Schizosaccharomyces pombe: one gene and its partner. Changing the gene in region 1 together with any one later gene gives a genetic interaction. Each region holds a gene or a part of one and is shown on either strand. Other genes may lie near its edges.

Region 1 (5,098 bases):
AAACATCAACAAGGTCATTCCTCCCATCGTAAACAAAAAGTATCGCCAACCCTTATTGTCTGCACGATGACAGACAGATTCATCGTCGGGACATGAAAAGTTAGAAATAAGACCCCATGATACCAAATTAGCAATCACTTGTCCAATGGCCCACCAGAAGGACATGACTGTGAGGAGCCACTGGTGAGACGAAGGTAAGGCTTCTAAAAAGATTGCCGAATCAACAGGCAAGTTACCACCCACACCAAAACTCCATAAAGCATCAAAAACACAAATGGAAGCAAAGTTAGGAGAGGCGCCAGCAATAACAGCGAACACACCGGTAAACAGAAATGTAAGGTTGAAAGCCCATCGTCTCCCAATTGTGTCAGCAGAAAGCGACCAAACCATGGCGCCTACCAATAAACCCAAATTTTGAGACAACGTTAAATAAGGAGCACGACCTTCAGCAGGAGGGTGTGGTCCATCCACTTCGTCGAGTCTCATTAAAATTAAAGATGTGCAGACAGGCCATATATTGTCAGACATCCAACCAAAGCCTGCAACAAAAAATAAATACCATTGATATCTGCCAAACCCAATTTCGTTCATTGCATTACTCAGGATACGGGATTTTGCCAAATAAGTTTTGCTAAAGTCATTACTGTCGAATAAATCGTCATCAGATTTGCTGGGCTGTATAGTAGCATCAGCCAATTCTACTGGATATACGAGCTCGGTTTCAGAAACATCTTCCTGCTTTTTGGACTCCGTAGGAGACATATCATATAATCTTGGAGGTATAGAAGAACTCATTTTTATACTGTCCAATTTATAAACATAGACAATAACAAGAAGGAAAATTAGTTCTATAATTTATATGTAATTATCAACGCAGAAACATTAACCAGATGTTATGAATGACTTCTATGAACACTGTGAAATGGTCGAAAAGGAAGGAGAAATGAGGAATTGACGCAAACAAAGAGGAAAATAGACAGAAAAGAAAAAGAAATGTAAAGAATCTCAATAAAAATTCGATAAATCTTACACGAAATACAGGTGCAAATACCTTTCTACCTAAAGATCATTAAAGGGAGCTTTCAGTCAGTCGCTGTTTGATTTGTTTCGATTCAACAAAACAGCTTGAAAGATATGGTAAAAGGAAGGAAGCTGCAAACGTAAATTTGACCTTAGAATGGTGTACTACTTCCATATTCACAATGTGTGATAAGAATGAGCTAATAAGGGATACTAGCCTGCATATCAATATCGAGTGGCAGTAAGTAGTTGTGCGCTAACCATCTTAGCAAATTCGGTAAAAAGCAGTATTTAAAGTCAGAAAAAAATATTTTGCTATTAATGGATTTCATGAGAAAATAAAGATATTGGTTTATTTTTGAATTCATAATGTTTTCAGTACCTCGATAATATGATGGAGTTCCAATATCATAAACTACTGTTAGCACTTGTGGTATAGAAATAACGATGTTAACGTGTTATTGTAATATCACTTTATATTTAAGAAGATATCATTAATTACCCTTAATAAGAATGCAATTTCTGTAACAAACCGTGGCGATTGTAACAAATAGTAGGCATACTTCAGAGTCAGTAAATAAAGTACAAGCATTGCTGGTCAAAATAATAAGACATATTATTACTAAAATATACTCACTAGTTTATGTGGTACACCTGCGATTTTTTCTGACTTCAATGTCTAAACATCGGTGCACTACGTTAGCAATCTATAGGGATAATCAGTTTGGATTACCCTAAAAAGACTTTGCATTACTTAAAATTCATAGTTATTTAAACTCTTAAAAATTGTTGGTCTCTTCGCTACACTTCTGTATTAACATTGAATTACGCAGCGATTGATACATTATTATTGCTTTCCTCAGCCAACATTTAACACTCTTTATTTGGACTTGTATTTTGTTGAGAAATTAGAGTCGAAAAGGACATCTTTTCTTCTCTAGTGATCTTTTTGTTTTCTTTTGGTATCGATCAAGTTTTGGGCTCGTTAAATTGTGTGTGTCCTGAGAAAGCAAACTCGGACTATAGGTGCATTAGCTGAAGTAAAAGCTATATTTTTGTTTGCTTGTTGTACATTGTAAAATGTCCTATGAACAGCTTCATGCTCAGTCGGGTCAGCTTCGCCAGCGCTTTCCTTCGAAGCATAGTGAGATTGAGGATGAGGTAGCAAATGAGAAGGAAGAGTTAAAAGACGCTACCAAGAGTGCTTTGGGTGAAGTTAAAACCAATAAGAAATATTACATTCTTGGTTATTTTCTCGTCCCTTTACTCTTAACCGTTATCGCTGGTTTTGTTCGTGTTTGGAAAATTGCCGATAGTAATGTTGTTATTTGGGATGAAGCCCATTTCGGCAAGTTTGCCTCGTATTATTTGAAGCATGAGTTCTATTTTGACGTTCATCCACCTTTGGGTAAGATGCTTAACGCTGTTGCTGGCAAATTGGTTGGCTATGATGGTAGCTTCGATTTCAGTTCTGGTGCTACCTATCCTGAGGATTTAAATTACAAATTTATGAGACTTTGGAATGCTGCGTTTGGAACTCTATGCATTCCTTTGGTTTATTTTACTGCATTAAACTTTAATTATTCGTTTCTAGCTGCTACATTATGCACTTTGATGGTAGCGTTGGACAATCATTTGGCTACCATCAGCCGCTTCATTCTATTAGACAGTATGTTACTTTTTTTTATTATCAGCACATTTTTCTGCTTGTCTAGATATCATGTTTATCATAAGGCTCCCTTCACCTTTTATTGGTTTAAATGGCTCTTTTTGACTGGTGTTTGCATTGGCTGCGTTTGCAGTGTCAAGCTTGTTGGTCTCTTCATTACAGCGGTTGTGGGTCTTTATACTGTTGATGAGTTGTGGTGTTTATTGAACGATAAGCGAGTTACTTGGAAGGCGTATGCTGGCCACTGGATTGCTCGCGTCTGCCTGCTTATTTTCCTCCCTATCCTTATTTATGCCTTTACTTTTTGGATCCAATTCGCTGTTCTCTACAGATCAGGACCAGGTGATGCTCAGATGCCTTCTCTTTTCCAGGCTCGCCTTGAAGGATCTCCTTTGACCAAGAATCCTATTGACCTAATGTATGGCAGTAAATTCACATTGAAGAGCAGAAATCCAACTGGTGCACTTTTGCATTCTCACGTTCAAACGTATCCTGAAGGTAGTGAGCAACAGCAAGTTACTGGTTATCATCACAAAGACGGTAACAATGAGTGGATGTTTGTACCTACTCATGGTGTGGCCTATAACTATGAGGAGAACGATCCTATGAATCCTATTCTTAATGGAAGCGTAGTTCGTTTAATTCATCCTTTTACAAACCGTAATCTTCACACTCACAAAATCCCTGCCCCTCTGAACAAACGTATGTATGAAGTCTCTGGATATGGCTTGGGTGACGTCGGAGATGAAAAGGATTATTGGATTGTAAATATTTTGTATGATACTGCTCACAGAGATGCGTATAACGTACGCTCTCTTTCTACCGTCTTTCAGTTGTACAACCCGGTAGTCGGCTGCTATTTGAGTTCATCATCTTCTAGTTTACCTTCATGGGGTTTTGGGCAAATCGAAATGTATTGTGATCCCGACCCCGATCCATCAAATACTGACACTCAATGGAATGTTGAAGAGCATATTAATCCTCGTCTTCCTGAAGGAAGTATTAACGATTATCCTTCTTCCTTTTGGTCTGATTTTCTTCACCTGAATCGCGCCATGTTACGTGCTAACAATGGTCTTATTCCTGATGAAGATAAATTAGATGCCCTTCGCAGTGAAGCATATCAATGGCCCTTCCTTTTAGCAACCTTACGAATGTGCGGATGGGGCGATAACCAAATCAAATATTTGCTGGTAGGGAACCCCGTTGCTTACTGGTTTGCAACTTCTAGCTTAATTGTTTTTGCATTATTTGTTGTGGGAGCCGTTTTAGCTTGGCGTCGTCGTGTGCTAAGATGGTCTCAAGAAGCTTGTGATACTTTCCATTATGCCGGCATTTATCCATTTTTGGGCTGGTTCTTTAACTACCTACCCTACTATATTATGGGACGTGTTTTGTATGTTCATCACTACGAGCCTTCGTATGCCTTATCGACTTTCACTGCAGCCTTCGTTGTTGACTGGTTTACTAAAAAGATGCCTAAGATTGTCCGCGTAGTTGTGTTTATCTCACTTTATGCTATAATTGCCGGAGTCTTTATTTATTTCAAGGATGTAACCTTCGGCATGCATGGACCTGCATCCGACTTCCATCGCCTTCGTTGGCTTAACTCTTGGAATGTTCATGATTAATTTCAACTTATTTAAAATAATATATAACATTCAATTTCTCTGTCTTTTATCTTAATTGGTGCTTACTTTGAGTCGTAGCTTACTGCTGTTTCGTTAACAGTTGACTGTCTTTTTTTAATATTGATTTTTATTAATTTTTTGTCTTTCTTTCAGCATCATCGTTCACGCCAATTTAGTGCAGTAAAGCTCTTATATTATTGCTGGGCAAGTGGATAACAGCAATGCAGAAAAGCTGTTAATCAATTTTCCATATCCAATACTGTAATCTGTAAAAGCGTGGATTATCTATCTATCCAATATATGTACAGGTTTATCTCTAATGCTTACAGTAAATTAGATGAAATTATCAAACGAGTTAAAACTCAAATCACATTTATGATGTACTTTTCAAAACCAAAATTATCAAATTACTTTAATACAAATAATGGTGTAAAGACTTCTACTTAAACATACTGTAAATACCCTCCATAGTCCTAATTTGCATGAAAATTTAAATATGAACAATAAAACAGATGAAATACAATAATCCTGGCTCTAAAAATTGCATATCCATTTAACCTAAGCTACTAAAATAACGTTTAATAAGTAAACACATATGGATAAAAATATGTGGGAAACTTCTCTTACAGTAAACTTCATAAAGTAAAACAAGCCACTGCCTTTTAGTTTTCATTCAATCTCCTGCTGCTCCGTAAAGTCTTTGGGATGAAAAAAACCTACAAACACTAAATAAAACAGCAGTGCAACGTAAAGAATGAAATATAAAAACTTGGTTTTT
Region 2 (7,540 bases), 860 kb from region 1:
TGACAGGTTCAAGAATACGTGCATTCTCGTCATTAAGACACTATATTGACGTTCAACCGTTTCATGTCCAAAACTATAGTGTAGTTTGAAGAAGTAAACTACGTCATGCGCTAAATATGTGATGTGGTTATATATTGCAGTAAGTATCGCTATTTACTGGCTTGCTACATATTGTTCTTCATTATTCGGTAAACAGTGGAAGAAGAAGGGCTGGGCTGGCTTACTTGTTCTTGTTAGTTGATCGATTGGTCGCAATGTTCAATCGATATATGGAAGGCGTTTCTTTCACTTCTTTTTCTCTTTTTTGGCTTTCTTATTGTTCGGAGAATTTCCGTATCTTAGAGTGTTTCAGTATAATCAATCATCTATCTAATCTGGTGTGTGCTGCTTTAGCTTCAGCTTATAGGCATCAGCAAAAAACAACATCACCTTCAAAGTAGGCGCCCGAAATCATTGTTCATATTTTTGTCCTATACTTTTGTACTAACTGATAAAAATTATTTTATAGATATTAAAAGCAAATCTTATATATTTGTCACCTCCAAACAATTTTTTTATTGATATTCTCCATTCATGAAACATAAATTCATTCTTATAATAAAACAAAATAAATTTTAAGAAAATGAAAAAAATATATATTACGAGCTTAGTCTAAATACATTCTAATATACATCTTTAAAATAAATTTTCTAATATTATATCTTAACAATTATTACTTTGGTTCATTCAATTCTTTGCTCATCTCAAAAAATTATCTACTAGTGAAATGTTTATTTACACAGAAAATGACTATATATGGCATGCACCTCTTAAAAAAAAGGCGGACAGCTTCGTTGATGGATTATGTTTCAAAGAATCTAATTCTACTAAATTAACTCATAATGCTTTCAAAATTATTATAGTTTATGTGCAAAAACTGTGATGCTGAAACGTTCCCGCTGGAAAGGAGAAATAACGAAAATAATAATCGTCCTAAATGTCAAATTAATAAAAAAAAAAACATGAAAATAAAGTAATAATATACATGAGGAAAAAGAAATTATTCATAACTTAAAAAGAGAAATAAATGGTAAATAAAAAAGTTTAAAGTCGCCAAAAAAATATGTGTCGGCTAAACATGCAAAAACTCAATAATCCAACTCACGCTCGTGGGTACGATACTGTTCAAACTCCATTACATTTTTTCAGTGGAATTTGGATTCGATCATTGACGGAGTTTCTTCAAATGAAATGCTAGGATCATTAAGTATTGCATACACGATACAACAATATGTAATACCTCCTATCGCTTTGGAACATAAAATAAAATAAAATTAAAGAAGTAAAAAAAACATAAACCATACATAATCGTATATGAAGTGCCTTGTAGAGGTCTTTTATTTTTTTTTTCGCATCAAAGTTCTTCCCAGACAATAATACATGGAAGCACAATTTTTTTCCATGGAATTGTATTTTTATCACCAAATTAAACATTATTCAAGAATACCTTGTATAATATAGATCAAAAATTAATCCTTTAAACCTTTTAGAGATATTGATGAATTTATAAAAACGTAAGCGGTCATAAAAATACAAACGAGGCATGTAATTTTCAAGAGTTAAACATCTTCTCGTTATCAAAAGAAAACGAAAATAAGCAAGCTTCAAGCGAGTTTCAATTGTACCGTTAATCATCATATCACAAAATTTACTGCATGTCCGGAGAAAATTGTTGACCACGAAGTTTCTGAAAATCTATACCAGCAGAAGGAGAGTAAACATCCTCAAATGGACTACCACTTTGGTCATGAGATAAGTAGCCCGAAGCTCCGGGTTGCGACGCATACACACCACCGCTACTACTTTTCTCAATTAAATTACTATCCTGTCCAGCAGATGATGCTAAAGGTATAGACGGTGTTTGAATGAATAACCGAGGAGCAACCCCAGCAGAAACAGATGAATTTGTACGGGCTTGCGCGTAAACAGACTCTTCAGATGGTACTTCAAATCCATACGACGGGACAGAGTTCTCAGTAGCAAGGGAGACATCTCCAAATGGTACCTGAGATAACTGTTGACTTGGTGCATTCATCGTGGTGGAAATTGAAGAAGAGCCAATGCCGCCAAATTCTCTGTTTTGAGTCGTAAATGGGACGGATACGTTTGTGTTCATTGACCATGAATTTGGAGTGAGACCACCAGTTTGTGAATTGGGAAACTGCGCTGCCATGTCTTTTATTTCCGTGTTAATACCTTGTGTATTTGGATGCATCACAGGTCGGCTTGGTGAATTGGATGCTCGAGGAAGTGAGCCGACATCGGATGGTGCCGATAAAGGATATGATATATTAGATGTGCCAAGCTCACCAAACTGCGTGTTATCAAGATTAAGCGCTAAATTATGGTGCGGATAAGCAGATGAAACTGAAGGCTCATAAGAGTTTAGTCTTGTAGAACTTCCTTCCAAAACATTAGCAGATTTCATTGCTTGAGTAATAGGAGACACAGATTGAGCATGCATAAGCCCTTCAGTATTAGTTTTCGGAGGTAAAAGATGCTGAGCCAAATCCTGTCTAGCAGGGGTTGAAGTGCTACGAAGCCTTTTAAACTGGCTTTTATTGCCATATTCAGAAGAAGTGTCATGAGACAATCCCTGGATAGGAGGGTTTCTTCCTTGATGATCAAATACAGAGCTATCAGGTTGTCTAGGAAGTTGATTAGCCCATTGAGGGTCCAAAAATTGGTGAGGATTAAGACCTTTTTGAAGGCGGATTACAGACCCCAACTCTGGCGATGCCCTTCGAACCCGATCGAGCATTTGAAACATGCTAGTAGCTCTTCCCATCAAAGAATGTAATAAAACTTCCGAAGCCTGATTACCCTCAGTAAAATCCGTACAATTTCCCTGTCCTTCGGAAGTGATCATGTGAAATACTGGTGGAACACTCAGCTGAATATCCATTTGAAGCCAATATTCATTTGGTGCCGGTTTATCTCGACTAGACGCAGTTGCACTCAACTCATTTAACAAGGGCTCCTCTACTCTAAAAACGTGTATCGACTCAATGACAAAAAAAGAATATTCAATACGATACTGAATCCCCTGGAATTGAATCAAATATGCAAATAATTTCTTTGGCGGAGAGTAGAAACACATTAAATCCTGAGGAGAGGCTCGTAGTCTTTTCCATAAACCAATTACTAGTAATGTACAAGAAAAGTAGTAAAATTCCGAATCATATGAGGTCGGTTCTGAAGAAGTACGCATGTGCCCTGTTGCCATATTAGGAGGACGAACAGGCCCTGATGCTTTGTATGATGAAGGCTTGGAATGACCGAACATTCTGTAACCCCCAGAACTAGGGCTCACTTCTCTAGGATAGGAGTAAAGATCTGACTCTGGTTGAGGCATACGGATGCCTGTAAGTGGAGTAGCATACGAAGAGGGTGGAGATTCTACGTCGAAAGCTTGATTTGATACCGACATAGCATTTGGGATTGCGGAATAAGAAGAGGCAGAGTATTTCCTTTGACTTGAGACAGGAACGGCATTTGGACTTAGACTATTGTAGTATGTACTAGAAAGAGACTGACGGATCGGAATGTCTGACTCTGCTATGCATGGCTCCATGGAAGATTGCATAGGTCCACTTTTCATATAAAAGTTTCCTGTTTTTCTAGTTGGTTTAGGCAATAACGTGTTCGCATACTGCCTATTAGCTGCTATTCCCCCAACGTAGGGACTGGTAGGTGAAGTAGACAATACTTCGTGCGCAAATGCTTGTGAAACTTTTTGATTTAAGGAATCCAATTCTCTCTGCTCACGAAGGATCCTTTGTCTTTCTTCTTCTTGACGTCTTGAAATGAGCTTTGATTTTGCTCTTCTGTTTTGAAACCAAATAGTTACGCTACGTTCCGGAATATTCAACTCGCGTCCAATTTTTTCCCTTATAGCTGGAGGTGGATTAGTATCTTTGGAGAATTCCCGAAGCAAATAAGCAAGTTGATCTGCAGTAAGGCGCTGTTTTTTGCTCTTTGGCGCAGAAGTAGATCCGCCGCTCTCAGGAGTACCACTTTCGTGAGCGACATTCTCCTTAGCTTTCTCAACAGATGTAGCTTCAACAACTTCATTTTGCTTTGAATTAGCAGGTTCCGACTCAGATTTAACAATATTAGGTTGAACTGGCGATGGATTCGTCAATTTCGAACTATTCACATTATCAAATGAATTATTATCTGCAAAACTCGGTGCATCCGGTTTGGGTTTCTCCTGTTTCCAATCTACTTTGTTTTCGTCAAATTCAGGAGGAAAATAATTAGGATTGGTAGGATTTTGCTGTTCCCCTTGAAGATGCTGCTCATACGTTGAATGGGGTAATTGCATGTTATTATCAGATGGAAACTGACCGAGAAAAGAATCCATGTCATAGTTGCTCAAGGACAAATTCTCCGGGAGCATTGTAGGTCGCTTCTCAGAATAATTAATATTGTCATTAATTTGACCACCATTTTCTGGGTTCGAATAACTACGCATATTGTTCTTAGAAATAAAATGAAATGAAAATAAAATCCTTATGAGAAATAAAAATTTGCTTCAAAAAGTATGCCAAGAAATGCAAATTGAATGGTGACTTTGGAAGATTAATTAAAGAAAGCTCAGAGAAATAAAATGATGTAAAAAAAATTAAATTGAAAGAAATTCCGTGGAATCTCTGAGTACTTGAGGAGACGCAAAAAACGTGAACCTGGTACCCTCGAAATATGGGGCACTTATGAAACCCCAGCCGCTGAATTTATTGTAATTAAAAACTTATCCTATCCAAAAAAAAGTTTGACCAGAAGAAAACCCTAACGAAATAAATTTGATCCCTTCTTGGAGGGGACTTCTCTCTTTAGCTTTTGTAGCAGAGATTGTAGCTATGTTCAGATACATAAGCACAGTGGACAAGCAATACCCAAGCTTTAAAGTCTCCAAGTAGAAATAATTAGTACGCCTTCTAGATCTTGAAAGAAACTGATTGACGAAAACTAAGAGACACGACCCTTTGTAGACAGAGGCTATCGATCCCTGGATATCTCACAAATGTCAAAACAAATAAAAATTGACTAAATGAAGAGATGAGTTGTCAAATTTGCCTAAAAATTAAATAATAAAAGTTTGCTAATTAAATGATAAAAAATATTGCAAAATTAACAATATAATTATTCCCTTCTCTTTCCCCAATTTTTCTTTCCCTTTTTTGTTATTAAAAAAATAAATAAACCAAATAATTAAAGATCCGAATGTAATTGAGATATTCGTTAACGTTCACTGCTAATAGATCGTTGCTGATTGCTCCTCTAAATCTAATGCAATAAAACACAACTTGAAATATCGTAAAGAGATGCAATTTCACTCCAATTTGATCCTTGCAAGAGCCTAATTAATTTCTGTCCTAATTTAATGAATTAAACAGAATGCTTATGGTTTCATAAATAATGTAGTTTTTATATGGTTGATGTGGTGGTTTTAATTCACATATCGCTCTTCACTTAACTAACCGAACAATTATATTACGAACTCTAACGTACTACCTTGCCTTAGAAACGACGCCCCCAATACATATTGGTAAATCCTTTAGTAAAGTGAATGAACGATCGATTGCTTCTAATGAGCAAGTCTTTGTTTTTAAGACCTATTATTTGAAGGATACTTTTGTCGAATGGGTACATCTAGGGTCATATGTAATTCATAGAATATATAGATAAATCATAATTTTGTCCTCAACTTTACTATTAACTATGTGGGGAATTGTGGAGAAACACTAATGTTACATTTACTGTCTAAACTGTAAGCGAGAATACTACCTATCTGAATATTGTAATATAAAAACATAGAAACATTACTAAATTTTTAAAAATTTGATCTGTACCACTTGTTTGATTTTATACTTTTTTTTCAATTTATTCTACGGGTAATGCTGTTTTAGGAGTGCGAACTTAAGTAATTGTAATTGGGAGTTTTACCATAGTTCAAAGATTTGTGACACTTTTTATTATTCAGTGCTAAAGACTTGAGTGGTCTTATTAGGCGAATATACAGAAAGAATTTTATTTTCTCTCCATAAACTGCTAACTTCAATCTGGAAGATTTGCTAATATACCAAAGATTAAAGCTTATGTTAATAGACTATGTCGCGACTCTAAAAAGCCAAAACCATATAAATTGAAAATACTACGACATCTTGCTCGTGCTGATAAATTGTTTTAAAACATTTTTTGCACTTGCATTGTAGTGTAAATAGGACATGATTCTCAAAATCATAGACTAAAGAAAACCGCTTTGTTGAATGTTCTTCTTCAGCATACACATAATTCTCTTAAGCCTTTGAAAAATTAGCCTAAGAAATTAAATCCACAGAAAACCTTTATTAGGTAAATAAGTACAGTATTATGTACAGGTTATTACATGACTACAACGCTATTTAAGGCTAGTAAATAGTAGAAGCAAAATTGAAATGATATTTATAGATAAAAAGAAATACACATATGTTTTGGTATAAAAAAGTTTAATCGCATGCGATGCTTGTATATCTATAGATCGCAACTCCGCTTAAGTTTACGGAGCCTTAATATAAATCAGAAAATCGTGAGTAGAACATTGCTTAAAAGCGAAGGTCCCATCCAATTTTAGGACCTAAAATAGGAAGTTGTTCAGCTACGCTTTGAACATCCTTGTCACCACGACCTGAAATGGTGATCACAATATCCTTATCTTTAGGTAACTTTTTAGCAAGCTCCATTCCACCATACACAGCATGAGAAGATTCCAAAGCGGGAATGATACCTTCAAGATGACATAGAGCGCGGAATCCTTCTAAACATTGAGCATCAGTGACAGCGATAAACTCTGCGCGATTGGTATATTTAAGTTCAGATAATTCGGGTCCCACACCTGGATAATCCAATCCAGCAGATATAGAGTGAGTATCTTGAATTTGTCCATCTTCGCGTTGCAGAACATATGTTCGAACTCCATGAAATACACCAACTTTTCCCATAGTCAATGTAGCACTATGTTTGGGGGTATCTACACCATCACCACCAGCTTCACAACCCAACATCATTACACTTTTATCGGCTTTGAAGGGAGAAAACATTCCAATCGAATTGGATCCACCACCAACACAAGCAACAACTGCATCAGGAAGTTTTTTACGCTTCTCTTGCATTTGCGCTTTCGTTTCCTCGCCAATGACACTTTGGAAAGTTTTAACAATGGTAGGGAATGGATGAGGGCCAATTGCAGATCCAATTAAATAATGAGTGGTGTCTATTTGTTCGACCCACGCCTTCAAAGCTTCGTTAACAGCATCACGAAGGGTCTGTGTACCTGAAGTAACCGGAACGACTTCAGCTCCCAAAAGACGGATGCGAAAAACGTTGAGTGCTTGACGACGACAATCTTCTGCACCCATGTAGATAGTACATTTCATACCAAATTTAGCGGCACAGATAGCAGTAGCAACTCCATGCTGACCAGCACCAGTTTCAGCAATGATACGGTTTTTTCCTAAAC

Evidence for each region.
Region 2: of ogm2 (region 1) and phx1, extra expression of one rescues a mutant of the other (dosage rescue), as found in Schizosaccharomyces pombe (one study listed by BioGRID).

Annotation. Positions count from the first base shown.
Region 1 is NC_003424.3:3,311,541-3,316,638, forward strand, and holds ogm2 (protein O-mannosyltransferase Ogm2), read left to right. Parts: upstream 1-1,881; 5' UTR 1,882-2,100; coding exon 2,101-4,320; 3' UTR 4,321-4,360; downstream 4,361-5,098. Other genes in the region: SPOM_SPAPB1E7.08C (transporter), read right to left, coding at 1-795.
Region 2 is NC_003424.3:2,451,032-2,458,571, forward strand, and holds phx1 (DNA-binding transcription factor, stationary phase-specific Phx1), read right to left. Parts: upstream 5,488-7,540; 5' UTR 4,517-5,487; coding exon 1,688-4,516; 3' UTR 762-1,687; downstream 1-761. Other genes in the region: trp2 (tryptophan synthase), read right to left, coding at 6,627-7,540. UniProt on the Schizosaccharomyces pombe protein: Trnascription factor that regulates the expression of the homocitrate synthase (HCS) lys4.